4 linked regions of the Tamandua tetradactyla genome follow. The protein of the gene in region 2 purifies or fractionates together with the protein of the main gene of each other region. This does not show direct contact. Links are inferred from orthologs where the notes say so. Each region holds a gene or a part of one and is shown on either strand. Other genes may lie near its edges. The genes, in order: MKRN1, PABPC4, PAIP1 and ATXN2.

Region 1 (7,295 bases), on a different chromosome or scaffold from region 2:
AACAAAACAAGAAAACCAAGTCTGTTCGTTATTTATCTAGGTAATTGGGCATCCTGTACTTTTATTTGCTAAATCTGGCAACCCTCTTCTAATGTAATATTGCAAAGACAACAAAAGCAAACACTTATCAAGCACAGTCCGGTGACTGTCCTTTAAGCTTTACATATATTATGTTTTATAAGGAAGATATTAAAAAAAATTTATTAATAAAACCAATCAACGTACAATATGAACATTATCTTTTTTATCACATAGTTGTATATCATCATCATAATCATTTCTTAGAACATTTGCATCAATTCAGAAAAAGAATAAAAAGACAACAGAAAAAAAATTCATACATACCATACCCCTTACCCCTCCCTTTCATTGATCACTAGCATTTCAATTTACTAAATTTATTTTGACATTTGTTCTCCCTATTATTTGTTTATTTTTAATTCACGTTTTACTCATCTGTCCAAAAGGCAGATAAAAGAAGCATCAGACACAAGGTTTTCACAATCACACAGTCACGTTGCGAAAGCTATATCATTATACAATCATCTTTAAGAAACATGACTCTACATTTTCAGGCAATTCCCTCCAGCCTCTCCGTTAAGCCTTAAGTAAAAAGGTGATATCTATTTATTGAGTAAGAATAACCTCCAGGATAACCTCTAGACTCCAAAATCTCTCAGCCATTGACTCGTAGGCCTAGCCTATCCTTTTAAGTAGGCTTAGCCTATCCTTTGCAGGGTTAAATTTTATATGAACAAACCTCAGGATTGGGGGCTCAGCCTATTGCTTTGGTTGTCCCCACTGTTTGTGAGAATATCAAGAATTCTCTACTTGTGGAAGTTGAATTTTCTCCCTTTGTCACCATTCCCCCAAGGGGACTTTGCAAATACTTTTAATTCACTGTTCAAATCTTAAGGGGTGATTTTGATTACTGAATCATATTCCTTTTTGCTTTCTGGGATATTGGGGTAGACAGAGGGGAATACCTGAAATCCCAAAATCAGCTGCCCTGATATCTGAAATGATTGTAAAAGCCCTTATCTTGTGCCTTTGTGACTGTAAGAGCTGTTAGTCCTTTCATCTGATCATTTTCTTGCAGGGGAAAGGCCCTAATGCTAATGAAGAATTTGAAGTCAGCCATTAACTAGCTTCAGCCCACGACATTTGTAAATCTTATCACCTAGACTCTACTATTGAAAGATAACTTGTCTCCCTTCCTTTAGGCTTATACCTTTAGTATTGATGAAATAGTTCTGCCTCCCCTCCTTTCAGTTTATATTCTCCTATTGAAATGATAATGAAGCACTGTCTCCTTTTCTGCTTTGAATTTGCTATTCGAAATGATCTCATCTCCATTGCTAAAATTCTTAAAAACCTTGAACCCTCTAAATTTAGGGAGACAGATTTCAGGCCGTTAGGGCATCTGGTCTCCTACTATGCACCTAGTAATAAAATCTCACTTTGAAACCCTGGGGTCTCAGGAATTGGTTATTGAGCATGTGGCAAAAGAATCCATGACCATTGTCCAGTAACACTTTCATCTTGATAGTCTTCCTTTCTTTCCTTTTCTTCTTCCTACCAAATGTTCCTAAACTGGCCTTGATCCCCAAGCAGTAGAGGCTGATAAGGCAAGTCTCCTTGGCTCCCATATGAGTCACCACCCCACCCCCCACCCCCGACCCCCAGCAGATAGGCACTCTTCTCTGGACTCTGGCATCTGAGAAGACATTAGTAATCTGAGGTTTTGGGGCCCTCATATCATACCAAATTAGGCAGTCAGCTAAACTGCCTATAATTAAGACCCTGTTGGCAGAGGATAAGGACAGTAGAGTCACTAATAAATATTTTTATATTTATCCTTTTGCTGAACTTTTTACCCAGCAATCTAAGCCAGAGATGGCTTTTTGTTTCGTTTATTTTGTTTCTTATAATTAATAAAACATTGTTCCTATTTGGCATGAATGGTGAGTCAAGATACAATATTGCCCAGCTCTTGTTAAAACATCAGAGAGTTCTCTCATTCATTACCCAAATATTATTGAGCACCTACTATTATTGCCAGATGGTTCCAGTCACTTGGGATATAACTGTGAACAAATCAGGCAAAGATCCATGCCCTCATCGAGCTACTATTCTAGCTAGGAGAGGCAGGCACTAAACAATAAACATAATATATAAGCAATTCCTATGGTAAGTTAGAAGATAAAGGCTAGGAAATAAAGAAAAGAAGAGGGAGCAGTGTAAAGGGTCTGGGAGTCGGGTAGGGAGGAGTGAGGAAACAGGCTGTGATGTTTTTAGAAGGCCCTTGTTAAGAATCGAGATTTGAATAAAAGTGACGGTGGGACTACTGTGTCTGGGTCAGCAGAGGCCAGACATCTGGAAAGGAGAGAGCAAGGAGAAAATAGAGATGAGGTCAGAGGAGTGGGGATATGGGAGAAACCAGATCATACAGAGTCTTGTAGACCTTACCCTGCTTGGAGGGCTTTGAGCAGCGGAAGAACATAATCTGTGTTCATTCTAAAAGCATCAGCTTGGCTGCCATGTTGAGTAGGAAGATCAAAATTTCAAGTCTCAGCATGGTCCGGCATGTGTGAACTTGGGGGCAGCCCTGAGTCCCCTCATCCCTCCACTCTTTAGTACCAGGTCTGGATTTAGTACAAGGTCAGGCACAAGGTCTTTTAAGGTATGTTGCTAAGACTCAGATCTTCTATGATCTCATATGATAGCATCAAGGACTCTGAACTGGGCACCAAGGCCTGCCAAGCCCGAGGACCCAGGGATTCCCATGCCTGCCCATGTAAAAAAAAAAAAAAAAAAAGAATTGTTTTAAGTGACTTCTTTTACATACAAAAAAAATTTAAGTGCCCCACCCCTTTTTAAACAAGTTATTACCTAATTGATAAAATCCAAAGGATAAAGACTACCAGGTACACATCTGTAGTCAAAGTTAAATTTTTTATGCAGCAGGGGAGACCATAGAGTAGAGGTATTGTATTGTGGGGCATCTTGGAATGGAAGAGTAGGGAGGGGTCTCTTCCAAGGTACAAGTGTGAACTTGCTGATTCTAAGGAGGGGCAAATGATAGAGGAGACTAGCTCTAAATTGGATACTGTCACGAAGAGGGGACAGTTTAGAAATTGGGTGCCTTAGCAATCTTTGTTCAGGAAAGGGACGGAGAAATGATGTATGGCTGGGAAAGTCATTAGTTAAAAAGTACAAATTATTCCAAAGAAGGGGATTAGTAGTCATTTTACAACTATTGTGGCCTTGGGAGAAACATTGTTTTCTGTTGGCTTTGCTACTTAATTTGTCCTTAATTGCGTCTGTAAGGTACATTGTGGTCCGATTATCAGCAGGACTGATTTTCTCAAGGCAGAAACTATAGAAATACAGAATTATTTAAGGGCTTATGAAAAACTGCTTACGGAAGATCATAATTTAATATGCAGCATCTGAATGGACAGTGGACATTAATGGGGAAATACATTTTAATTTTCATAGTTTTAGAAATTACTTTCAGAAGTTAAGATATTCCAGACACCTTTAGTTATTCTATAGTAAGCATTACCTGCAGTGTGAAATACAGCACTAAGTGTTTTACGTGGACTTTTATTTAATCCTCAAGACAACCTCTGGGGCAAGTACAATTATCCCCTTCCTCCAGATGGAGAAGACCACAGCCTCAAGAGGTAAGATACCTTGCTCAAAGATATACAGCCAGGAATGGGAGAAGTCAGGAGTTTGAAAAGAGACAAGCTGACTCGAGCCATTTGCTTAGCACGTCGCCACTATGCTATCCTCTTGGGCATTAAGATATTTGGCCAAGGTCACACCACTGGTTAGAAGTACAGAGTTAACATCTTAACTCTGTTCTTATAACAAAGTCCTAGCCTCAGTGATTTCCTTGCATATTACACAATTCTCACAGACCCCACGAGGTAGGATCTACTATCATCCTCATTAGAGAGATTAGGAGATAGGTTTAGAGAGAATTAGTACCTTACCCAAGGTCATACAATAATTGGTCGAGCCAATAAATGGAAAAGTACACATTCAAACCAGGTCCTCCGACCTCAGGTCCCAGATTCCTTCCACAACATCGCCTCTACTAAGAGATAACCCCCTGGGTCAGCCGCTCTTTATATTTGGACTTCTGTCACCCCTCAGATTTTGAACATCTGGGCACACCTGGATAAAACCCCAGTTCTAACTCCTCCCCTTTCTCGGTGAGATCTCTCCTCCGCCAATCAGATGGCGTTGGGGGCGGGCGGAGGGCGGTCAGGCCGGGTCCTGGCAGTTCAAGTTGCCTGAGCGCAAGGAGACGCGGCGCGGAGACCGACGGGGAGCTAGCGGTCGCCTCAGTCCCCTTCCCCTCCCCTGGCCGCGCTCTCTGCGAAGCCGGACCGGAACTATGTGATCCCGGAAGTTCCGGTGCCATTGCTGTGTGGGATAAACAGTAATGGCGGAGGCTGCAGCTCCCGGAACAACAGCCACAACATCAGGAGCGGGAGCGGTAGCGGCAGCGGCGGCGGTGGCAGCGGCCTCCCCCATCCCTATCCCCACAGTCACCTCCCCGTCCCTGGGGGCGGGAGGAGGGGGAGGCGGCAGCGACGGTAGTAGCGGCGGCTGGACTAAACAGGTCACCTGCAGGTAAGACGTTGCGTGGCTGAGCCGAAGGCGAGGGGCGGGGGCCGAGGGCCGAGCGAGAGAGTGAAAGAGGAAGGGAGGGAGGTTGGCTGGCCGAGAGGGAGCGAAGGAGGGAGGGAACTCGGCGTTTGTGCGTCCTCCGCCGCCTGTCTGCCGCCGCGGCCTCCCCTACTCCTCACTGCGTCAACCCCCGCCGGTCCGCGTAGGCCCTAGCGCGGTCCGCGTAGGCCCCGCGGCGCGCGAGGTGCTTTCGGGATGCCCGCCTCGCTACTTGTTTCCCTTCGCCCTAGTCTGGATTCAGCACCTAGCGCCATTCAGTGAGAGAGGTAGGATAACTCCTCCCCTCCTTTTTAGTTTTTAATTGTTGATGCCTTCTCCTCCCCTCCTACCTCCCGCTCTTGAGATTTGGGAGGGGACGGGTGGTTTTCGCTTTGAGCCGGTCCTCCAACGACCCTTTCCGGACCTAGGATACCCGGCAGAAGGCCTCATCGAGGTGCCCTGGCTCCCGGGACCTCTCTACTGTGTCATCCGTTTCTAACGTCTTTTCACGTTTCTCTGCCCCCGCCCCCCTCCCAGCCGTGGGAAGTACCTTTTCTATTTCTTCTTCTTTGTGTGTTTGTCGAGATTGGCGGTTCTGAGCTTTGTCTTAGAAGCAAGTGATGTGCCTGGGTCGTTTTTTCCATTCTTAGTTTTACGAGCTGTTATTACCCTCCCGACCGAAATGTTTCTCTTTTGAAATTCACCATCTCCCTTCTGTAAGGAGTGAAAGGGCTCGTCGCTCCCTGAGGAGAGGTTTTGTTTATTGTTGTTTTTTTCACTACGTTAGCTGAAAAGCCAAAATAAGTGATTGATGGATGGCTGTTATACGGATGTGTACGCATGCAAAAAATTAGCGAGCAGTACAAGTAAGATTAGAGCACTTAACTGTGTTACACCTCGATTTTTTTAAAAGTGATCAGTAACCGCTATAAGCGTTTCTTTTTCCTAACGTTAGAAAAATTCCACCTGAAGCTCTGGTTTTCACCTTGGCGTGGGATACTTTATACGTAAATGCATTTGAAATATTCCTGATATACTTAACGTAGCGTCCTAGTATTAACCGCGAAATTGAAGTGCTCCCGGTGTTATTATTCATTTAACGCGTGGATAATAAGTATCATCAGTAATGGCATAGAGAAAGCATAAGAATCGTTTTCTCTTATAATTCATATGTAGATCTTAACAATGAAATCCAGGGGAATATCCCAAGGAATAAAAATTTTAAAGGCATTCATTAAATCAATTATTTGAGTCTCTGCTTTTTTTTTTCATTGTATGACCAAATGATTATATGTGCTAATTAACTCTTAAAAAGAAAAGAACTGTGACCATTTTATTAATTTTCTATCCATTCATTCAGTCCCAATTTACCCCATGCCCTGAAAATAATCTTCCTTGAATATGCCAATTCTTAGTGCCTTGATTTTACCCACCATTTCTAATTTAAATATAGTCTAACCTTCCCATCAACCTGAAACTGATTATTTCTATACTTATTATTACCCTGTTGAGTCTGTAACTTGGGCCCAATTTTACATCTCTGCACAGAATTCATTTTCACTTGCAAAACACTGCTCCCCTCTGCTAGGCACTTGCCCTTGTTCCATTTCCCATTCCCTTTTCTACTTCCTCATCAGTTCTTTTTTCAGAAACAGAGCTGACCAGACTGAGCATTCCTTTAGGGTCTTTGACTTTATGAAATAGTTCTGAAACAGTGAGGATTTGTATTTAAGAAACAACACATCGCCAAGTAACCTAGTAATTTGAAAAAGCATTATGTAAAAGATGCAGGCTTAGTTGTACTAGTTTCTGGTATCTTAAGTGTGTACGTACACGTGTGTGTGTGTGTGTAAACCTATATAGCTTTTGCTTTACAATTAACTTTAAAAAATACAAGATTAGGTGAAATGACTTGGGATTTACTGTTTGACTTTATTTTTGGTTATTCTAGTTGCCCAACAATCTAGTTTTTAAAAAATCTTTGAATAGAGGAGTATCAAATATGAGCTTCATTTATTCTTTGAGTGAGCTCTCTGGAAACAGGGATCCTATTTTGTTGATCTGTTGCACCTCAGTGCTTGACATAGAGCAGATGCTCAATATATGCTTGAATTGATATGGTATACCTATACTAAAAGTAACTACTTTTTTTTTTCTTTAAAAGTAACTACTTTAATATGTATTTGTATGATTTCTTTCATTTTAAAAAAACTTGGAATAATTAACAGAGATGGGACTTAATAGAATATGTATGTATCTTTTTGATGCTACTTTTTTCAGTCATTAAGCAAGCATTGAGGGCCTAGAACAAGGAACAGTGCTAAATGTTAAAGGAAATAAAGAAGTATGGTGTATCATAAATAATTTTAATGTGTAAAATTGTATTTAAACCTCCTTTATAGAGAATTCAAGGTGGTCTCATGTTCCAGTGTCTGTATGTATTTCCCCTATAGCAGACCATTCTTATATCTAGGAATTTGTCTAAGGCTATTTTCTTCACCTAGGGTATAATTGTCTTAGAAGTTCTTTGAATGAGGATATTTGTTTTTAACTGCCCAGAATTGTCTATTTTCTTGATTATTACTATTTTCTTAATATTTCTCTTGAAA
Region 2 (7,100 bases):
ATATGTTCATGTCATCTCTGAAGAACAGAGTTCTTCTGAAAGTAGACTGCCCCAGTGAAAAAAATATTAGCACTCCACCCCCAAAAGCTCTTATTGAAGCTTTACGCCCAATCCCAGCAAAGGTAGATTCGTACTGACCTGCCTAGGCCAGTCACTTTCAGATCACTGGCCTGGTTATTGGTTCAGTCTCTTCCTACCCAACATTGAGCCCTAATCAGGTATTGTTTAATTTTGCAGGTTGGACTCCAGGCTCCTTCTGGTGGCTTTACATATCTCCCCCCTCTAAAACAAAGTGATAATCTTGTGTCAGTTGTAGGAAATGTAAATGTTTTGATTTCCAAGAAATTTAGGGACCTTCCTTGACTCAATCCCTCACCTCCCACATCTAATTAGTTACAATTTTTATTGTCTACTTATTTCTTAAACCAAACCACTTCCGCCCCCCCCCCCCCCCCGCCCCATGGTCATTACCTTAGTCTGCCATCATCTTGCATGTCCCCTTACACCCATCCTCTAAACCGTTTCCATATTGCAACCAGAGATGTTTTCATAAAAATGCAATTCAAATCAAGGCATTTGCTCATCAGTGCCCAGCATTCCTTCATTTATTTGACAAATATTTATTGAAAGCTTAAATAGAGCTTTGTGCCATGTTAGGCACGGTTCTAGGTTTCAGTTCTCACAAAGCTTATATACCAGTGGAGGGAAGACAGGCACTTTAAACAGATACACACACATACACACAATGTAATTTGTGATTTCAGGTAGTAATAAGAGCATTGAAGACAAAGAGACAGGATGGTGTGATAATAATTAACAGTGGCAGACTACCTTAGACTGGGCAGTCTGGGAAGGCTCCCCGGAGGAGGGGACCTATTTATAGGAAGACTTTCCCTCCTGTCTTAGTTTGCCAGGCTGCTAGAACAAATGAGTTGGCTTTGGGAGTTCAAAATCATGCTCTCTCCCCAAAGTCTGTAGCGTTCTGACGCTGGCTTACTTAAGCATTCCTTAGGGTTTCTTGGCTTGCATCTCTGCCTCCCATTACATGGTGATCTCTTTCTTCTGTGTCTGCTTTTCCAGTTTCCACTAACTTGTGGCTTTTTTCTGTGGCCTTCTCTGACTGTGTCTGAATTTCTTCTGCTTATAAAGGACTCCAGTAACAATGATTATGGCCTACCTTGATTATACTAAGCCATACCATAACTAAAAATAACATCTTCGAAGGTCCTGTTTATACACGAGCTCACTCTCCCAGGAATAGGGATTAAGATTAAGAACATGGCTTTCCTTGGGTTACATAATTCAACCTACCACATCTGTCATATTTACTATGGTATCCCCCAGCATTTATAGCTGGCACTGCCATAGAGTATAGTCCCTGATTATTTATTTGAATGAATGAATATATAAATATGTATATTTCTTCATTCATTTACTTAGATCAGTAGTTTTCAGTGAGTTTGCATGCCTTTTGGTAATTTCTGGGTTTGGTTCTCAAAATAATGGAGGAGCCTTTTATCTACCTTATCAACAGATGAGTAAAACATATGGAATAAAAATAAATAGTAGGGGGAACAAATGTTAAAATATATATTAGGCTAAAATGCTAGTGATCAATGAAAGGGAGGGGTAAGGGGTATGGTATGCATTAATTTCTTTCTATTGTCTTTTTATTTCCTTTTCTGAATTGATGCAACTGTTCTAAGAAATGATCATGATGATGAATATGCAACTATGTGATGATATTGAGAATTATTGATTATATATGTAGAATGGAATGATCATAAGTTAAGAATGTTTGCATTTGTTGTAATATATATTTTTTTAATTTAAAAATTAATAAAAAAAATAATGGAGAGTTCCTGGTGTTTAGGGACGAAGGGATGCTATATAGTTTGCTAGGCATGGAGACAGTCCCACATACCATAGAATTGTTTCATATCCCACAACTTTCAAGTGACCTGCCAGATCTCAGGTGGATGAAAACTCTCTTTATAATTACAGGAGCCTAGGCACTAACTCCCTTTTACATGGAAACAGAAGATATTTTTGTGCCTTTAAATAGAAACTAAATTTACAGGAATGCCATTACCATGTAAATAGAGGGATAATCATATTTTGTTTTATTGAAGCTTTACCAAAATCTGTTAATCTTTTCAGCAAATCACACTACCCACAGAAACCACTGCATTTCTAGCTGCCACATTCTGGACGATTCTATCTTTAAGTCCCAGATTCTGAGAATTTCCATATGTCTTCTTGAGTATGGGGCCCCAAATATTTATATACTGAGCCACTTATTATTTATTTGGAAATTATTTTACCTCTTTTTTTTTTTAACTTTTTTTTTTAGGTGCATGGTCCGGGAATTGAACCCGGGTCTCCCGCATGGAAAGCGAGCATTCTGCCACTGAACCACCCATGCACCCTTAAGTCTTTTTCAGTAAATCATTTTATTTCATCTTTATTTTCCAATTAGGCATTACATTTTTTTGGTCATTTCTAGCTTTTTAAAATTATTAGAGCAGTTGTAGGTTTACAGAAAAAAAAATCAAGCAGAAAGTACAGAGTTCCCATAAACTCCACTCCCACAGTTTTCCTATTATTAACATTTTGCATTATTGTGGTAGCTTTGTTACAATTGATGAAAAAAATTATTATACTATTGCCCATAGTCCATAGTTTATCTTTGGTTTCAGGTTCACTCTTCGTGTTGTCCTTTTTTTTTTCCTGCATGCTGTAAGGCGGGGGTCACATTTCATTCTTTTTCCACGTGACTATCCTGTTATGGCGGCACCATTTGTTGAATTTTTTGTTTGTTTTTGTTGGTTTCTTTGTTTGTTTGGGAAGTGCATGGGCGGGGAATCGAACCGGGTCTCCCGACATGGCAGGTGAGAGTCTACCACCGAACTATGCTCGCACCCCTGCACTGTTATTATTTTTTTTCTAAAATTTTATTCTAGTAACATATATACAACCAAAAATTTCCCATTTATCCACTTTCAATTATACAAGTCGACGGTATTAATTACATTCACAACTTGTGCCATTTTCGCCATCCATTACCAAAACTTTGCCATCACCCCAAACAGAAACTCCAAGCCAATCAAGCATCAATTCCCTATTCCCCACTCCCTCCCAGCCCCTGGTAACGTGTATTCTAGTTTCTTAATGTTATGAATTTGCATAGTCTAATTATTTCAAATAAGTAATATCATACAGTATTCATCCTTTACATTGATTTTTTAATTTTATGCGTGTGGGTGGGTTATATTATCTAAGGGTTATATTATCTAATCACCATTCCCGGGTGATTAAAGGGGGTGGGGGGATTGTAATATATTTATTATGCAAAGGAGTCCTTGGGTCTGGTGAAAGCCCGGACCAGGATACCTGAGGTCCACTCTGCCTGGAGCCCGGAATGGAGCGGCCAGCGGCAGCGCGGTCCTCCCACCGCCAGGTGTCGCTGTGGTGCCGCGCAGACGCGCCGGGTCGCTCTCGCGTGACCGTCCCGCCTCGGGTACCCGGGCCGAGTGGGCGGGCACGGCTGCGCCCAGGTCGCGAGGCGCCCTTCGACCAGCAGCGCCCGGGGCGGGCGGGTATAAATGGAGCGGTGGCTCCCCCACCCGCCTCTCTCCGCCCCGGGTCGCCGCTGCCTTCGCCGCTTTCAGGCCCAGCAGCCTGAAGAAAAAAAGAGAAAAAGATTAAAAAGAAAAAAAAAAACGAAAACGCTTTAAAATCTTAAAAAAAAACGTCAAAAAAACCGAATCCTTCTCGGAGAACCTGCGAGGAGTCACTTTTGCACGCTTCCGGCCTGCCCCGCGCCCGCCGCCGCCGGAATCTCGCGTCCGTCTCCGTCTGTCGGTCCGGTGGTGAGCCGCCCGTGCCTGCCCGCCTGGGCCTGTGCGCTCCCCGCCGCGGGCCCGCCCTCCTCCACGCGTCTCCACTGTGAGCCTCGCGCGTCCGTCTGTCCGGCCCGCCGCGCGTCCCTCCCTGTCCGCACGCGCCGCGTGGCAGCCTCGGTGCTCGTCGGCTCCGCGGCGCGTCCTGCTGCCCCTCGCTTCCTGCGGGCCGGCCTCCCGGCGCACCACGTGTCGGCGCTGCCCTTCCCCGAGCCCGGCGTGGGAGGCGGCTGCGCGCAGCGTCCGCCTGGGGCTTGCGGAGTCGCACGGACGAATATTTTGTTTCCCTCTTCCCTGGCTGTTGTAATTTTAAACCGCCAGGACCCCGAGGCCTATATTTATAGAGAAACGCGTGTCCCGAAGGCCGCTGTGGGCAGCGTTTGATTGCCTCTTGGAGAATTTGTGTTTAACTCGGAAGGAGATTCCCGTCGTCATATTTTTTGAAATTTGTAGGTTCAAACCAGGACAGCTGAAAATTCCACCATCACCCCACCCCCCCAGGGAGGGCCATATTGTTTTTGAGAGCCTTTTGTCTGAGGTTTTGCAGAGTCTCTCCAACGAGCTTTCCCCAAGCTCCTGTATATCGGAGCCTACTCCAGCTTCTCTTAGCTTAACTTGCCACCTGTGAGCCGCAGCGCAGACTACGGCTCAGAGAAGAGCCTCTTTTGTCTTGTGGCGGTCCGTATAAGAAGTCCTGGCGGGGCTCGGGGTGGTGGGGGGTGGGGAGATGAACGCTGCAGCCAGCAGCTACCCCATGGCCTCCCTGTACGTGGGTGACCTGCACTCGGACGTCACTGAGGCCATGCTTTATGAAAAGTTCAGTCCTGCGGGACCTGTACTGTCCATCCGGGTTTGCCGCGACATGATCACCCGCCGCTCCCTGGGTTATGCGTACGTCAACTTCCAGCAGCCGGCTGACGGTGAGTAGGAGCTCTGTCCACAAAATCTTGGGGTCTACAGAGACCCAGGGAGTTAGCTTCTAGGCACGCCCCACTTCCCAGGAAGGGGTGGGGTGGGGGGAATCCAAACATCATTTTGTGCAGAAGTTGAAGTGGGAGCTGGAGGCAAAGAAAGAGGTGAGAACATGGCACCTGGCATCAGTTTCAATCTTTCTTTCGTACTGGCTGGCTGGGTGACCTTGGGCTAATTAGTGGTGAGGTGGGGTTGGAACCCAAGAAGACTGTAAAGGAGAGCAGAGTGAAGTCACTGTCAGCCCATTGTGTGTGTGTGGTCCTGCTTGAGTGGGCCCTTCAGAGACTTTGTACTAGTCAGTGGACATGGGCTTGTGCCCCTCAGAAGCCTGCCAAAAAGGTAGGATGAATGAAACCCAATTCGCTGCAAAAATTTTAGATTGCAAAATTACTAACCCCTCCCCCACCTTTGCCTTAAGAGTCAGTTTGATTTGATATTGATAAGGGGTCTTTCAGGGCAGATAGGAAGCAGAGGAACAGATCTGTGGATTAAACAGGGACATGTGCTAGCACCACCAGACCCATGTGTTCAGCTGGTAGCCAGGCGAGTTCTCTATCCTGCATGTTTGCCCCAGGGGTGGAGGAATTGTTTGCTGTGGACATGCCCTGGACTGTGGAGAATGTTAGCTAGTTAGGCTGGGGAAGCACCACCTGAAAGTCCACTGGTCTGGTGGCTGGGGCTGGTGGGCATTATCACCTCAGCTGTGAAGAGCATTTTACACTGTGCAAACATCTTTCACTTCATCCTATCCGAAGGGAAATAAGACTCCTTTGAAGAAAAAGGGACTGCAAAAGGTTGGAGGTTCAGTCTACCCCAGATTGTGACTTTAGCCTGGAGCAGTGGAGAGATACGCTGCAGGCGTGGCAGGAGTGAAGCCAAAGGAAACCCAATCAGGGGCTGCATGTGACTCCAGATTAAAAGGGAACAACTGCAGAGCCCTTACTGGGAGAAATAAGCCATTCTATGGCAAGGATCTCCAGCTCCCTACTCTTGTCCCCACTTTGTTCACTCCATAAAGCAAATACAGAGAATGTAACTTTCCTAGGATGCAGCTGAGAGCAGGGAATTGGGCCTGGGTTGAAGTGAGACAAGGCACCGCGTACTGTCAATTCAGTGTACTCAGCTGAGTTCTGTCTCTGGCCACATAAGTACAGAGAAGGTGTCTGAGGGTGTGGCCTTTTTAGGAGGAAGTGGGGGTATATACATTATTTCTTGCCTGCCTTCTTACCTCTTCTGAACAAAAGTGCTGTCACTTGGAGATAGTAGCAGAAGCTTGATCAGTGTTTCTGCCAACACATACCTCTGCAGGACCTCTCCCTGCTATAAATAAGTGCAGCCAGATTTGTCAGACTAAGCTGACTTGCCTTGTTGCAGTGCTATCTGGAAATAGAAGAGTAGTTGGGTCGAAATGGGTGTCTTTACTGCTTATTAGTAAAATACAATTGGGCTTCCCAGTTGTGTATCACAGAAAATTATCACAAGCAAAGTCCTATACCTGGGCTTTTTCTATGGCTCTGTACTGCCATCTTCTCTTCCCCTTCATAACTGAGCAAGCTGCCTTTCTCAGATGTGGGAAAGATTGTTGGAAATAAGTGGGAAAAAAAGATATTCCCTTGACTTGATGTAAAGCTGAGCCTGTGGAGGGGTGGGTAGGGAATTTTGTCTATCTTTTAAGTGAAATGTTCTCGAATGGATGCTTTAAAGTAGGAGAAAGCTCCCCAACTCTGACGCTGTGTGAATCTTCTCATGGAAGTTCTAAGTGATGTTATTGCTTTAGTGAAGTCACTGCCATGAGATAATAGTGTAAGTTTGGAAAAGTGGCACCAGCTCTGGGTGTCCTTGTTGCTGCTGTTGAAGACAAGTATATCCGGCTGCAGATGATTATAATTTAGGTTCTGGTCCTTTAAATGGTGCAAACATTGTCTTGGTTGGGAAGCTGAGAAAAAGTCCCAGGGCACTGGATGGAGAACTGGTTGGGTGAGCACCAGGGCATTGAAATCTTGGAATTACACAGAACTCAGCTTAAGGCTTCAGCACTTTTCAGATGTTCAGGTTCAGAAGACACAGGAACCTACTAGGTGCGGGGCCCACGTGCATCATCACCTTAAGCAGAAACCATCCTTTCAAGGAGTTTCCTCAGTCTATGATAGGGATAATTTTAACTGTCCCACCTGAGCTACTGTGGGTAGGCTGCAAAACCCTTTATAAGTGATAAAGCTTAATGTG
Region 3 (6,922 bases), on a different chromosome or scaffold from region 2:
TTAGCATTTCTATTTTACATGATAGATGACTCCTTCCACCCCAAATCAACTGCTCTTCCTGCTATGTCTATACTTTTCCAACCCCAGAGCTTTTTCCTATGCAGCCTAAAACGCATGCAATATTTAAAATGTAGAATACAAAGTTAACATGACTTTTTCTATCAAATATGGAAGAGCCAATGAATTTGACAAAATGGTGTGCCAACATTAACCAACAGGAAAATATAAATTAAAACCGGAAACAGATACAAGATACCCACCAAAATGGCTAAACTTAAAAAAAAAAAAAGCCCACTGATAAGGAAGCAGAACAACTAGAAACCACATACTGCTTAGAGAACACATTGGAACAATCTCTTTAGAAAACTACATGGCAGTCTCTACCAAAACTAAACATACGACTACTCTATACCCTTGCAATTACACTCCTAGGTATACCTCAAACTGATAAAGGGCATATATCCACCAGAAATGGACTGGCCGAGCAGTTTTCAAAAGAGCCCCAGAGTGGAAACTACCCAAATATCATCAACGTGTTCATCAACATATCAACGGATAAACAGATCATGGTACATTTGCCCACAAAAAAAAAAACAAAACTATACTATTTATACTATATCACTATGGAATACTATACTATGACGATAAACCCACCTCCAATTACAGGCTACACAACATGGATTAATATTGCAGAATGAAAGTGAGAAACAAAACTATTCTAATCTGTTAAATCAAAATAGTGGTCACCCTTGTGATTGGTAGTGATTAGAAGGGGACAGAGGTGGGTTTTAGGGATTGATAATGTTCTTTTTCTTGATTTAGATGCTGGTTACCTGAGTACTCACTTTGTGAAATTGAGTTATATTTTTCTGTACACCCTTTTATATGTTAAATCTCAATAAAATTAGGAAAATGTGAAAGTCAGACTTCATGATATGTTTTATTAATCATTTCTTTAATTTAGTAGCATGGTTCCTGTTCTACCTCTCTTCAATTCCTGTGCATTTTACTCATCTTGTTTTACCTAGCATGATACATTCTTTTCTATGCAACCCTACTGCGTTTTGTGCTTTCTCCTGTAATTTGTTTGACCAACTTTTAAAGTTCTTATATTACTGACAAAGATGACTCTGAAAGTTTAAAAATTCTTTACACCAAAATACTTTATCAAAATCCCCTTTGACATATCTACATACAGTAGGTATCTAGATCTAGAAAAACTTCTATTTTCTATAATCTATAATCCGGAACAATGATCACTACAAACAAAAGTGCAGATCTGTACTTCTCAACTACCTCATAATTTGTTTACAGCAAAACTACTATTTATTTATCCTTAAGCCATTAGTGAATATTCAGTTATCTTGCTAAAATCAAATTAAAACTCAATTTTGCCAGGCTACTATTCCACAGGTTGCCCATAAAATCTGAAAAAAGATTTTAGTTTTATACATTGAAGATGTCCTTAACAACATAAAGTTTATTTGCTTATTGATAACTATAATAAGTGCTGGGAATACAGAAGACAACTAAATACAAAAATTCCTACTTTCAGTTGGCATTCTCATACCTTGACAATATCTACCAAATATATTCTTGAATCAATTGTATTTCCTCAGGAGTTCAATGAGTTCATAATAAAATGCTTTTGTGAGTAGGACAAAAAGCACCAGCATACTATGGTTAATAAGTTATAGTCACATTATCCCAGTAACACCAACCAAGAGCTGTAGTAAAACGGAGTACTTACTGTATAATTAGAAGAATAACCTGATGGGTAAAATTCAGGAGCGTTCACAGACAGCTTAGATATTAATACAGGAGCTACAACCACCTGGGGTTTAGCCATTGCAGAATTCGAGTTCTGCTGCGGGATTTTATCCTGTGAACTAGGCGGAGCTCTCAAGGACCTCGTTTGTTCTGAAGAAAAAAAAATAGGGGTGTTAGGTTCCTTCATTCCCTTGTATAATAATTTACTATATATTGAAAAGCTATCCGAGTAAGGCTTGGTTTTAGGAGCTAAACAAGAACCATAACGAAATTTAAGGTCATCGTCAGGAACTGTACAAAGAGCCTGTAAAAAGGAACAATAGATTTGCTTTAGCTCATTTATAAACATACCTGCCTTCAAATGGGTGACTGTGAGGGCTTTTGTTTTTCCCCCCTTCCCTTTTTTTAAGGAGTCAGTTAAAAAAAAAAAAAAAAGGTGGTTGCTTGGACTAGTGTATCCGTTAAGAGCGCTGGGGAAGGGGAGCTTTTTACTCCCCCCTCGGCAGAACTCGGAGACCGCGCAGACGGCCCCTCCCCCCGCCGGGGAGCACAAAGGATTCCAACAGCCACCTTCCAAACCCGGTTCCGCGCGGCTCCCCACCCCGGAGCCACCCGGCCCCTAGCGGAATGCTTTCGGGGAACCGTGGAGAGAGAGAAGAGAGCGCGCCCGCATTCCGGCGCGCGCCAAAGGCCGTGGGGAGGCGTTGGCCCGAGGGGGTCCCCAAGCGCTGCTCAGTACCTGGGAGAGCCCCGGGCCGGGGAGGCCGCTGGGGGCCGGCGGGGACCTCGCACTGGGCCCCGGGCGGCGGGGCCGTTCTGGGCTGGCGCAGCGGCGGCGGCTGCAGGTAGCCCGGGGCTTTGGGCTGAGGCGGCGGCTGATGCCGCGACCGCTCAGCAGGCCCCGCTCCGTTCGGGAAACCGCCGCCCTCAGGCCCGCCCCCTCCGCGGCCCAGGCCCCGGCTCCGGCCCCGACCAGCACCTGGGGCCCGATCGAAACCGTCCGACATGCTCCTCCTCCGGGAGCCGCCGCCGCTGAGCTCGGGAGAGGGCGCGGTGGGGAGACCGGCTCTCGTCGCTGTGCCTCACTCGGGCCTCATGGAGGAGGAGGGCGGCGGGCCCCGGCTTAGGCTCCTCCGCGCTTCAGGAGGGGCGGACGGCAGCCTGAACACCCGCCGCTCCAGAGCGCCCGCCCCTCACGGCTACCCAGCTCTTTCCGATTCTCCCCCAAAACCCGGCACCCTTCCCTTCAGCGCGGCGGGGGCGAAGGCGGGTCACAGCGGCCCCCCGCGGCCCGGAGGCTCCCGGCGCGCCAGCCGCGACTCCTCTCGTCGGCGGCGGGACGGCGGGGCGGCGGGGCGGCGGCGGCTGCCCACTAGGCCGGCAGGCGAGCGGCGTCTCGGCCGCTGGACGACCCTGTGGGCAGCGGGTGCTGAACGAGAACATCTCGGCTCCTGAAGCCGGGATGGGAGTTGAGGGGCCACTTACCCCTGCGAGGCCCAAGCTGCTCGATGGTTCTCTGGAGAGAAGTGCGAGACTGACGGTTGATGCCAGGAAAATAAAAATACGGGGGGAGGGGGCGTGGACCCGGCGCCAGGGTTCGCGGACGCGCACCTCAGAGGGCGCGCAGGTGTGTGCACTGACCCGGCTCCCGCCGCGACGCGAGGCCGCGACGCGAAGGGGCCTTTGGGAGGGATTCTTCCTCCGGCTCGGCTAGCAGTGGAGGAGAGGAGTAGAAATAGTTCCAAAATACGCCCCCCTCTTTAATTCACAACCGGGTCTTTATCACTGTAGACCAAACCTATCACTAAACTTGAATCTCTTCCTTTTTTTTCTTCCGCTTCTAAAATGTTGAGAGAATTTTATTACGTTTTCTATGATACTTTCCCCTTTTTCATCTTCTACCAGTGCTGCCCAATTGTAACATGAGCCACTTAACTAGTTTTAAATTTTGTAGAAGCCACATTGAACAAGTAAACACACACAGATGAAATTAATTTTAATAATAGATTTTATTTAAACCAATATATCCAAAATATTTCAACCTTTAATTTATATAAAAATATTAGTGGGATACTTCACAATTTTTGTTGTATTGGTTGAAATTCAATGTGTATTTTACACTTGCAGCAGGCTTAATTCAGGCTAGCCATGTTTGAAGAACTCAATAGCTGCACGTGACTAGTGGCTACTACACTGGACAAGGTAGTTCTGGACATTTATGTGTAAAATGTTTCAGTCAGCCTGATGGTGCTGAAGCCGAATGGATTAATATAGGTAATGAAAACAAAGGGCAAACATATACCTTTTCTTTACTGTTGGAGTGAACCAACTTCACAAAATCTTTTATTTTAATCATCAGCTAACACTCTTTACAGAAGGGAGAGACTTATGAAGAGAAATAGAAGGACTTGAAATACTGTCTTTCAGTGATTTTTCATCTTGAGAGTCATTTCAATTAAGAAAACCATTTACTTACTCTTTTTGCTAATAATGAAACTTACTTTTTTTGCTAATAATGAAAACATTAAAGTCTTCATCTAAATGAGAAAATGGCTTTAATGAGAACAACCATGAATACATTATTTATGCTGCTTATATTAGGCAAAACTATTGAAGTCAGAGAAGGAAGCCAGCACGAAGTATAGTTCCTTGGTGTAGGGAAAGAATGCAGGATTCGAAGTCTGGTTGAATTCCACCCTTGAACATTACTGACTGATCATGGGCAAGGGATTTACCTCTCATTTTCCTCATTTACAAAATGACTGTGGGTGCAAGAGTAGTTAAGTGGTAGAATTCTTATCTGCCATGCGGGAGACCAAGGTTCAATTCCCAGCCCATGCACTTCCAAAAAAAAAATTAACTGGTGCTGCAATAATGGGATACATGGAAAAAGAATGAAATGTGATCTTCACCACACAGCATACAAAAAAAAAGAGACTATCTTGAGGCGCTGGACAAATATTACAAATAAATGCTTGAGAGACCAAATTACGATTTAAAAATTACATGAGGTGATGTGCAAAGCTCTTTAAAATCTTTTTTTTATGTAGTCAGTCACTTCGTGCCTAAGCAAAGAATGAAGATGAGTTATGCTGGATGTCCCAGGGAAGGGGTATTTATTAGATGCCCTAATCTTATCCCAGACCTTCATTTGCATTTTTCACCCTTTTTTTCCTCTTAAAATTTTATGATGTTTAGCACCTTTTCTAGCATCTGTCACTTTCTTGAAGATTAGGCCGTTCTGTGTCCATGGTGGCATCAGGGCATCCTTATACAGCCTCCATTTGTGATTAGGGTCAAGTTAGACAATTGAGATGTTATCCTTCTTCTTCCCTCCATTCCCTATTATGTAACTTTAGTCCTAGTCATCTTGTGATGTATGAATGTTGGACTAGGGGATAACATGAGTGGATTTACGATAACGATAGCTAATATTTTTATACATTTATTATATGTCAACTGTTCCAAGTTGTTGGAAGATCAACAGCTGTTCCAAAATCTTGTATTTCATTTCATCTTCACACTCTGTCAAGTAGACATTTACATTATCTTCATTTTACAGAAAAGTAACTTGATGTTAAGATATCACAAGGCTCAGATTCATCTAGAGGCTTAAAGGGCAACTGGTAGATGCTAGGAATTGCATAATGCCAAGAGACCACACACATACACACACACAAAAAAAACATGAGCACCATAAAGGGGAAGTGAAGAGAATCACCAAAAGATCTCCTGCCCCAACTTCATTCCTTTCTTATTTATGGTGAAAGGAGAGTAGAAGAACAAATTTTTAGAGGTTGTAAAATATGAGAAAAGAACCTGCTGTGAACTATGGGGAAGATTTGTTTCTTTAAGCTAGATTAAAAATTGTTCTGCCTATTCCTGTGAGGAGGTCTATAAAATTCAAGATTCCTAGACTTATCTCTACCATGACCACCCTGGAGGCCTTGGCTTTAAGAGGAGAACTGAAAGTAGTAATTATCTTTACTAGTCTCCTTGCCTCCAGCCTATCCTCCATTTAGCTGCCAGGTAATCCTTCTAAAACCATGTCTGATCATGTTAGTCCACTGCTAGAAATCTTCCCTGTAGCTTTTGTAATGAAGTCAAACCCCTCAGCTCAGAACAAGACCTTTTTGCTTTCCTCTCTGTTTTAATTTGCTAGCTGCCAGCATGCAATATACCAGAAATGGAATGGCTTTTTAAAAGGGGGAATTTAATAAATTGTAAGTTTAAAGTTCTAAGGCTGAGAAAATGTCCCAATTAAAACAAGTCTATAGAAATGTCCAATCTAAGGTATCCAGGGAAAGATACCTTGGTTCAAGAAGGCTGATGAAGTTCAGGGTTTCTTTCTTAAATGAGAAGGCACATGGCATATATAGTCAGGGTTTCTCTCTCATCTGGAAAGGCACGTGGTGAACATGGTGTCATCTGCTAGCTTTCTCTCCTGGTTTCCTGTTTCATAAAACTCCCCGGGAGGCTTTTTCCTTCTTCATCTCCAAAGGTCGCTGGCTGGTGGACTCTCTGCTTCTTTCATTCTCTGCTTGTTCAGAATCTCTTTTTCATAGAATTCCAGTAAAGTAGTCAAGACCCACCTAGAATGGGTGAAGACATATCTCCAACTAATCCAGTTTAACAACCACTCTTGATTGAGTCACATCTCCAGGGAGATGATCTAATTAAAGTTTCAAACATACAGTACTGAATAGGGATTAGAAGAAATGGCTGCCTTTACAAAATGGGATTAGGATTAAAACATGGCTTTTCTAGGGTACAGACATCCTTTCCAACCATCACACTCCCCAACTTCATCTTGTGTTATTCCCCCACATGTTCTACCCCCACCCCACTTCCCTGCACCCTTTTAGCAATACTAATTTACCCTAATATCCCAAGCTACTTCGTACCTTCATGATTTTACTAAAGCATCTCTGCATTCCTTTACCTGTCTGTTAATGCCTCTTAACCTATGAGGGTCTGCTTAAGTATCCTCCTGGAACTTTCCCCAATCTATCCAATCTTAGATTTCCTCCTTTGTGATATTAGCATCTTGGGCAAACTCTGTCTTAGCTCCTAACATGCTGGGTTGTTAATAATTGGTTTATTAAGCAAACAACTCCACTGAACTCACCTGAAGGCAGAAGATACCTTTTAA
Region 4 (7,889 bases), on a different chromosome or scaffold from region 2:
TGTTAAGATGAAAAAAGATGAACACAATATATATATAATCACTATAACTGTAGAAATGTTGACAAGAACTGAACACTAAAAGACAAAAATAAAAATTGGATTAAGGTAAAATTATGTTCAAAATTTAAGCTGTAGTTATACTGTTATTTCCTAAGACAAAATGCCACCTTCTGAAATGTATATGACAATTAAAGACAGAATAAATCATTTTGAAAGCCATGAAAATTCAATTTTCACAAAAAACTCAAATGATAAAATATTATATACTATTTAAAGCAAAAGTATTATTTCTAGATTTTCAAGAGTATTTTGCTATCTCTGAACATGTCAAACCCAATGCTGCGCTTTTTTTCTTCACCCTTGATCCAGAAACTTATTTTACTGCTGATACATTCAAGCATAAGTGAGGTTAGAAACTGTAACTGATCTACAAAGGGCCCAATAAACGTAATTCAAAATTGAAAGCAATTCTACAAGTACATGAATCTATACAAGAACAAAATTTTACATTATATGACTAATACATTAAACAAAACTTCAAATATTTAACAAAAAGAGTAAGATCTACCATTTACGCATCAGGTGAAATAATTTAAAGCAAGACAATCTAAATGAACCTTAAATTTCTGTGAAGCCCTAAGGAATAGAAAAAAGACCTACAGTACTAAAACATTCCAAGTATCTTTGATCAATCAAGCTACCTCGGAACAAATTATTTGTCATAATGTGATTTTTATACCTAAAGAGAACCAATGCAACTTCTTCAAAGCCTTAGTTTAAATTTTTTAATTATTTGAGCAAGTGAAATATATCTGCCAGATTTCAACCTGACACCTAAAAGGAAAACAATTCTTTCTGTAAAAATTATATTTATAATTTTCATTTTTCTTTATTAATGCCACTGCAAAAAGGAAACTAAAGTTACAAAATCCTAAGTGTACAGAGCTGGGGAAATGATCCCTTCATTTGAACTAGTTGGCTAGGTTTGTGGGTGCTTTAGAGAAGGGGAAACTATGGGAGTAGGAGTGGGTAGCAGTCCAGAAGCGTCTTTACATCAACCTCTTTGAAGTGAGAAGAATTTCTTAAAAACCAGCTGATTCATCTTGATGGGTAAGTTTTTTTGCTGGTTAATGAAAATGCTTTGTAACTGGATTGCTGAAAATGTGTTTTCACAAAGAAAACTCAGTGCATGAAAAATTCCCTTATTCCACCTTCAAAAGACCACGACATCTATTTAAGGAGAATGCTGGTCACTGGCCCTGCCAATCCGGCCTAAATGAGGCATGGCAGCGCCTTCAACACGGATGGACTCAGGGCACAGGGGAAACGGACTTGCGTGCCCTTGGTAAGCGCTGGCGACACTCCCCAAGTTAAGGACACAGGCCACAATGGAACGGAGTGTTACTGACACTTGCACCCTGTTTGAACGCTAAGCATTTTCTCAGTTAGTGAATTACGAACTGACACACGACCCTGACTCCCAAAGAGGCTTTGGCGCACAGGCACACACACTCTAGAGTTAGACCCGGCTGGCGGAAATAACAGAGCCCCCAGCCTTCAGCACAAACCTGGGTTATGAGGGTTGGAGCGGGAGAGGGGAGGCGCAAGGAAACACCCACGTTTCTGCCTTCAGGAATCCCACCCTGTCCCCCGCTGCAATCCCTCTCCCCAAACACACGCAAAAAAAAAAAACACCTCGGAAATCAGGGTAGGGGGTATCAAGAAAGCTCAGCGGGCTCCCCCCGCCCACCCCCCACCTCCCCAGTTCCGCCTGGGCTTCGGGCGCACGCCTGGGCCCGACCCTCACCCACCAGTGTGCAAAAGCGCTTTAGCCGCCGCCTCGGAACGGCAATGCGGATCGGCCACCACCCGAGCGGGAGAGGCCATGCGGGAGGAGGGAAAGAAGGGGGAGGCCGGGAGGGGCCCAAGCACTCCCACCCTTCCCCAGGTGGGGGAGAGCGGGCCGCTGCGGGAGGCTGCACAGGGCAAGACCATTCTAGGGCTTCTGGACACCCCGCCGCGGCCTTAAGGCTTAAAACTGGAAGGGGCGGGGGGCTGCTGCCCACCCACCTCACCCCCGTCCTTCCATCATTCACTGAGTAGAAAGGGGGCACAGGTGAAGAGACGTGACAGACCCCAACGATTCCAGAAGCGTCCTGTGGCTGCCCCTTTAACAGGAAGGCAGGGGACGCGGTCCAATCCCCCCCCCCCCCGCCTCGATATTCCTCCATGGGGGAGGAGACGTGTTTCGGGAGACTGAAACAAAATCTAAAGACCACTCCAACCACATTTAAACCGGGAGTGGGGACGCTGCCCGCAGCATCCCCCTCACCCCCACTGGGGACCGGGAGGGCTTAAAGAAGGTGCAACGGGGGCTGACAATTGCTGGGACCTGTGAGCATTTCAATGGGAAGGGGACGCTGCCCGGTCCTTCCATCTTGACCGTTTAGGGAGGAGAGTGAGGATGGTGCAGGAGGATGGACGCGGCCTGACAATCCAGAGGGGCCCCACGGCGCCCCCCACCCGAGCCTGCAGGGTCTAAAGCGGAGCTCCCGCCCCCGCTGCGGGCCCCTAGCCCACCCCGCTAGGCCAGGCCGGTCCCGGGGAGGGGATGGCGGTGCGGACCGCGGGGGAGGGGACGCGAGGCCCGACCTCGTCCAGGCCCCAAGCGGAGGGGGCTGGGACGCCGACACCCACCTGCCCAGGCCCGGCCGCCCGCCGCCAGTGCCCGCCGCCGCCGAGGAGGAGGAAGCCGCGGCCGAGAGCGAGGGCGACGAGGCTGAGGACGGCGGTGGCGCGGCGGCGGGCGACGTGAGAAGGCCGCCGCCGGGCTTGCGGGCATTGGCTGCCGCGGTCTGCTGCTGCTGCTGTTGCTGTTGCTGTTGCTGCTGCTGCTGCTGCTGCTGCTGTTGCTGCTGGGGCTTCAGCGACATGGTGAGCGGCCCATACACCGGCCCGCACGCCAGGCGGGTACAGCAGGGAGCCGGGCGCGCCGAGGAGACGCCGGAGCGCGGCGGGGACGCGCGGGCGCCGAGCGGAGAGGCGCGGGTTGGCACGGCCGGGGGGGAACCCAGGCCCGCGAGGGGGAGGAGGACGACGACGAAGGGGCGGGGAAGCCGGCCGGGACCCAGGAGCCGCCGGGAGCTGGGCCGGGACACGCCGCAGCCGTTGCCGTTGCTACCAAAACAGTCTGAGGCGGAGGGAAGCGAGCGCTGCCCGGAGGGAGGGGGGCCGGGGCCGGGCGGGGGAGGGGCGGCGGAGGGATACGGGCCTAGAGCCGTGCCGCCACCGCCCCTTCCGCCCCATCGCGGGAGCGAGCGCCGCCGGGTCCATCTGGCAGCCGCGAATCGGCGAGGCTCAAGGACCACCGCAGGGCCCCGAGGAGCTGCGGCCGCCGAGCTCATCGGGAGACGAACACACCCAAGCGCTGCTGGCCGTGCCAGCGGCCGATGCGGGATGGGGACTCTTTACCGGAAGTCGGCAGGGTCAGACGGAAGTAGGGAGTGAGGGAGCTCCGAGTCCGGGAGGGACACGTGAGGAGCGGGTGCCGGTCTGGGCCGCGTTCGCGGGGGTCGGTGAGGGCCCGGCTGCCGGCCCTGCCTGGATCCGCCCTCCTCTAGGCGGGGTTGCCCTTTGGCGAGGGCGTGTCGGTCTTCTCCGGCCGGATCAACCTAGCGTAAAGGACTAGGAGGAAGCGTTTTTTCTCCCTCGCCCCCCAAGGTGCCTTTTCGGTCCTCAAGCTTGGAGAAGAATGCCTGTTTGACCCCACCTGACGCAACGTATAAAATGAACTGCGAGCGCCTTCCGAGGGTAGAGTGTCTTGCTCCGTATAAAGCACGCAGAATAGTCACTGGCGCGATGAACACGAGCATTCAACAGTTATCTTTGTATCCTCGGCGCCTGGCACACAGTAGGCCCTCGGGTGTCACTGAGTGTCTCAAAGAAGAGCCCTGTTCTGTTTCGCTGCCAAGACTAACGAATGGACTTGAGATTGAGCAACATGCCGAGGCTACCCAAATCTGGTTACCTTTACCCCACTTTTTCTACAACAGCAAAAAAGTAACCAAGAAAACTCTTTTGCGTATCTGACCTTCATTTGAACCCATTTTCCCCTCACTTGAACTTCTTTTACCTCCTTCATGAGGCTCAAGAGGAAATGTACGTGATTTGGTACAGCTATGAAAAAATGGGGTCTCCTGTCGGCGGAGACAGAACAGTCTTCACAAGAATGTGCGAACTTTAGACCTTGGCCCCTTTAGAAGTTTTACTTTAACTTAAGAGAGCCAGCCAGCACAGTAGTCCGTTTTTAAAATGTGTTGCAATTAAACTGGAAGCAAGTAGATAACTACTTTTTTTTTTTTTTGAGTGAAGCATCTAGTGTTTTGTTGTATTTTTTAGTGAGTTTAAGGAAATGATAGGGCAATCAACATCAAAATTCCCTTCAATCTCGAATTGTCCAGATAAACGTAAAGACCTAGAAGAACTTGAAGAATAATTAAGCCAGATGTATCCAGTAGCCAGAATGAACTGACATTAATCTCCTACATAGCCTAGGCAAAACTGATCATTGTATATTGCAAACACTTGAAAAGCAGGCAATCAGCAATCAGGTGTATTTCCCATCTAAGGTAAAAAGATTGAGAAAAAATGTAGTATTCCTTTAGAGTTAAAAAATCCTTTAAAAATTAGCCCAGAAGAAACAGGGCTAAAAAACCAGATGAAGAAGGAAAAAATAAAATAACTATAATCAAAATACAATGGACTTTCTCTGATTTAATGACTTAAGAGCTTTATCTGGGACCAAGGTCCCAGAATGTAGTGTTAGGACCAAACTCCAAGCATATGGGGGAAAAAAGGGAAGTAGAGTAAGAAGGCATAAAGCTGACATAGCTGAACTTGGTTTCATGTAGGCTGAGAAATGTAGGCTAGTTCTCATCCACTATAATTGAACTTTTTCCTACCATAAGAGTCATCCATTTGAAGTATTCGATGATTTTTAGTCAATTTACAGAGTTGTACAACTATCCCCACTAATTTCAGAGCATTTCCACTACCCCAGAAAGATCCCTCATGCCCATTTGTAGTTACTAGCAGTTTCCACCCACACCTCTGGCAACCACTCCTCTACTTTCTGTCTCTATGGATTTGCCTGTTCCAGACATTTCATATAAATGGAATCTTAATGTATGTGGTTGTTTGTGTCTGTTTCTTTCACTTAGCAGAATGTTTTTGAAGTTTATCATGTTGTAGCATATATCAGTTTTTAGCTCCTTTTTATTACTAAGTAGTATTCCACTGCGTAGACCAATGGGATTTGTACATCATTAATTCACCAGTTAGTGGACACTTGGATTGTTTTCAACTTTTGCCTATTATGAATAATGCTGCTATGAACATTTGTGTACAGGTCTTTGTGTAGACATATGTTTCATTTCTCTTGGGTAGATACCTAGGAGTGAAATTGCTGAGTCATAAGGTAAATTTATAATTAACTTTTTTTTTTGAAGTTGAGAATTGTTAACAGCAAAGAAATATATTTAAGTTTTTAAGGTATTGTCAAACTCTTTTCCAGGTGGGCTGCACCATTTTATGTTTGCACCAGCAATGTATAGGGTTTAGCATTAAAATTTGATCTTTACTTTTATATTAAATTGGAGACCAAGAAAACCTCTCTTGTCAACTCTTTTTTTTTCCTCCCCATTTCACTTTCTTGAGGGAGTCTCCTCACCTAAAACCAAGGAATATCCCTTCTTGCAAATCCTTCACCTGAATTCCAGACCTCCAAGAACATGGTTATTTTATAGCAACCATGATGTCAGAGGGCTTTAGCTTTATATGAAAATGTCAGGGTATAGTAGGCAGTCTCTAAAACAGCCCCGGTGATCCCTTCCTCCTGGTATTCAGATTCTGACATATCCCCTCCACTTGAGTATTGGCTGGGCCTAGTGACTTGATTCTAACAAACAGTTAGAAAAAGTAATGGGTTTTCACTTCCAAGATTATAGTACAGAAAGACTCTGGCTTCTGCCTTGGGCTCTGGGGTGGCTTGGAATTATGTATCCCCAAAAAGCATATTCGTAATCCTATCCATTCCTGTGGATGTGAACCTACTGTAAATAGGACATTTTGAAGATACTATTTTTAATAAAGGTGTGGCCATATGAATTAGAATGGGTCTTTATGCTATCCATGGAGGTCTTATAGAGAAGGGGGAGCAGCCAGAAGCTGAAAGTCAATGAAACTGGAAGAGAAAGGCGATAACCCCGCCACGTGCATTGTCATGTGATGGGAAAGCCAAGGAACCCCAGCCAGAAGATACCGACCTGGGAGGAAGCAAGCCTCTAGCCTTTGAAGCCCAGCTAACTGAAGCCAACCATTGTTGCATATTTGTTTTAGCAGCCAGGAAACTAAAACAAGCTGCCCTCTCTCCCTCACTTGCTCTGAAGAAAGCCAGCTGCTATTCTGTTAACTGCCCTACAGAGAGGTCCATATGACAAGGAACTGCCATCTCCAACCAACAAGTGAGGACCCAATGGCTGTCATAGGCCGCATGAGTGAGCATAGAAGCTCAATCAAGCCTTGATATGAATATAGCCTAGCAGACACTTTATTGAAACTTTTATTGTATCTAGCTCAGGTTAGGTACCCTGAGTTAGAGCTACGCATTTAAGCTGTCCCCAGATTCCTAACCTATCTGTTTTAAGTTGCTAAAGTTGGGGACAATTTGTTAACACAGCAATAGATAACTAATACAGATGACCAAAAAAAAGGTACATGTCCAATGATTTCCATAGACTCGGAATTCTTTAAAGACAGATGCTGAAATTAGGGACTAATAATATATCCAGTGAAAGTTAAAATTTTGAATGGTCCTTCATCTCCCACAGACATTTTTCTGATAGTCATTAAAACAAAACCAACAAGTGTCTTTGGAGAGTTGTCATCAAAGGCAACGAAGAATATTGCCCTGAAACAGTCTAAGATTGAGAAGTGTTGGAAAAATTTAAGCTTCAAAAATATTTCAACCAATATTTCAGAAATTCAAAAAGTCTCAAGACAGAAAACATCCAGAGAAAGACTTTCAGATTTGGGAATCTAGTCCTGTGGTTTCTGTCCTTGCTTTCTGATTTCCAGTGACTCCTCAAGCCACATGATCCTTTATTAGCCTGTTAATTTTCATTACTTCAGTGATTAATCAAGTCTGGGAATTTGGGGATGAAAAACTGATAGAACCATGCAAAGCACAGAAATGTGTGGAGTGATTTGTTATCTCTCATATAATAGCACACAGCAGAGGACCCCATATTTCCAGCAATTCATTTTTCTGTAATCATTTCTGTCAGCTGTCTTCATTTGAGCCTGTTTAATGTATGATGATACATTATTCACTCAATACTCTTGATTTTGATTTCCACAGCATGAAAGTTAATTCAAATCAAAACTAACATGCATCCCCCCCCACCAAAATCCATCCTCTTCAAATTCTTGCATAGACAGATACTCAGTTTTAAAAAAAAAAAGCAGATGTAATTTCAAAAATAGGACCGTGGCTAATTAAACCATTGCTTTTTCTCCTGACTGTGGTTACTCAGAATTCTTAGAGGCAAATCTATTTGTAGACCCTCTAGGGATGCCAAAACACTAAAACAATATTAAAAAAAAAAAAAAAAAGAAAGGAAAGATGGGTGTTGGGGGAGATGCTGCTTGGAGGCATTATTTATACACTTTGTATGAAAAGTAACTGCTTTCCCACAGGTGTGGAAAAAACAAAGCAGTGTGGCGAAAGAACAGTGGCAAAAGAACAGGGAGCACAGCGACATTCTTTGAAAAGCTTTTAAATTATCTGTTCCCTCCACACCAGCACACTTCTGGTTGTTAAGTTGCTCGTT

The links.
Region 1: the proteins of PABPC4 (region 2) and MKRN1 purify together in Homo sapiens (affinity purification with mass spectrometry; 3 studies listed by BioGRID and IntAct, with this or other methods). This does not show direct contact. The link is inferred for Tamandua tetradactyla from reciprocal best matches to the Homo sapiens genes PABPC4 and MKRN1.
Region 3: the proteins of PABPC4 (region 2) and PAIP1 purify together in Homo sapiens (co-immunoprecipitation; 3 studies listed by BioGRID and IntAct, with this or other methods). This does not show direct contact. The link is inferred for Tamandua tetradactyla from reciprocal best matches to the Homo sapiens genes PABPC4 and PAIP1.
Region 4: the proteins of PABPC4 (region 2) and ATXN2 purify together in Homo sapiens (affinity purification with mass spectrometry; 4 studies listed by BioGRID and IntAct, with this or other methods). This does not show direct contact. The link is inferred for Tamandua tetradactyla from reciprocal best matches to the Homo sapiens genes PABPC4 and ATXN2.

The regions. Positions count from the first base shown.
Region 1 is NC_135327.1:183,909,561-183,916,855, reverse strand, and holds the start of MKRN1 (E3 ubiquitin-protein ligase makorin-1), read left to right. Parts: upstream 1-4,288; 5' UTR 4,289-4,459; coding exon 4,460-4,650; intron 4,651-4,844; exon of another isoform or gene 4,845-4,973; intron 4,974-7,295. UniProt on the Homo sapiens protein: E3 ubiquitin ligase catalyzing the covalent attachment of ubiquitin moieties onto substrate proteins. These substrates include FILIP1, p53/TP53, CDKN1A and TERT.
Region 2 is NC_135328.1:185,799,119-185,806,218, forward strand, and holds the start of PABPC4 (polyadenylate-binding protein 4), read left to right. Parts: upstream 1-4,200; 5' UTR 4,201-4,290; coding exon of another isoform or gene 4,291-4,337; 5' UTR 4,338-4,629; coding exon 4,630-4,822; intron 4,823-7,100. Other genes in the region: uncharacterized protein LOC143658260, read right to left, coding at 3,315-3,681, 3,784-4,200, 4,291-4,337.
Region 3 is NC_135335.1:93,719,187-93,726,108, forward strand, and holds the start of PAIP1 (polyadenylate-binding protein-interacting protein 1), read right to left. Parts: upstream 3,010-6,922; 5' UTR 2,778-3,009; coding exon 2,510-2,777; intron 2,305-2,509; exon of another isoform or gene 2,122-2,304; intron 1,921-2,121; coding exon 1,751-1,920; intron 1-1,750. UniProt on the Homo sapiens protein: Acts as a coactivator in the regulation of translation initiation of poly(A)-containing mRNAs. Its stimulatory activity on translation is mediated via its action on PABPC1. Competes with PAIP2 for binding to PABPC1.
Region 4 is NC_135331.1:12,234,224-12,242,112, forward strand, and holds the start of ATXN2 (ataxin-2), read right to left. Parts: upstream 3,017-7,889; 5' UTR 2,934-3,016; coding exon 2,698-2,933; intron 1-2,697. UniProt on the Homo sapiens protein: Involved in EGFR trafficking, acting as negative regulator of endocytic EGFR internalization at the plasma membrane.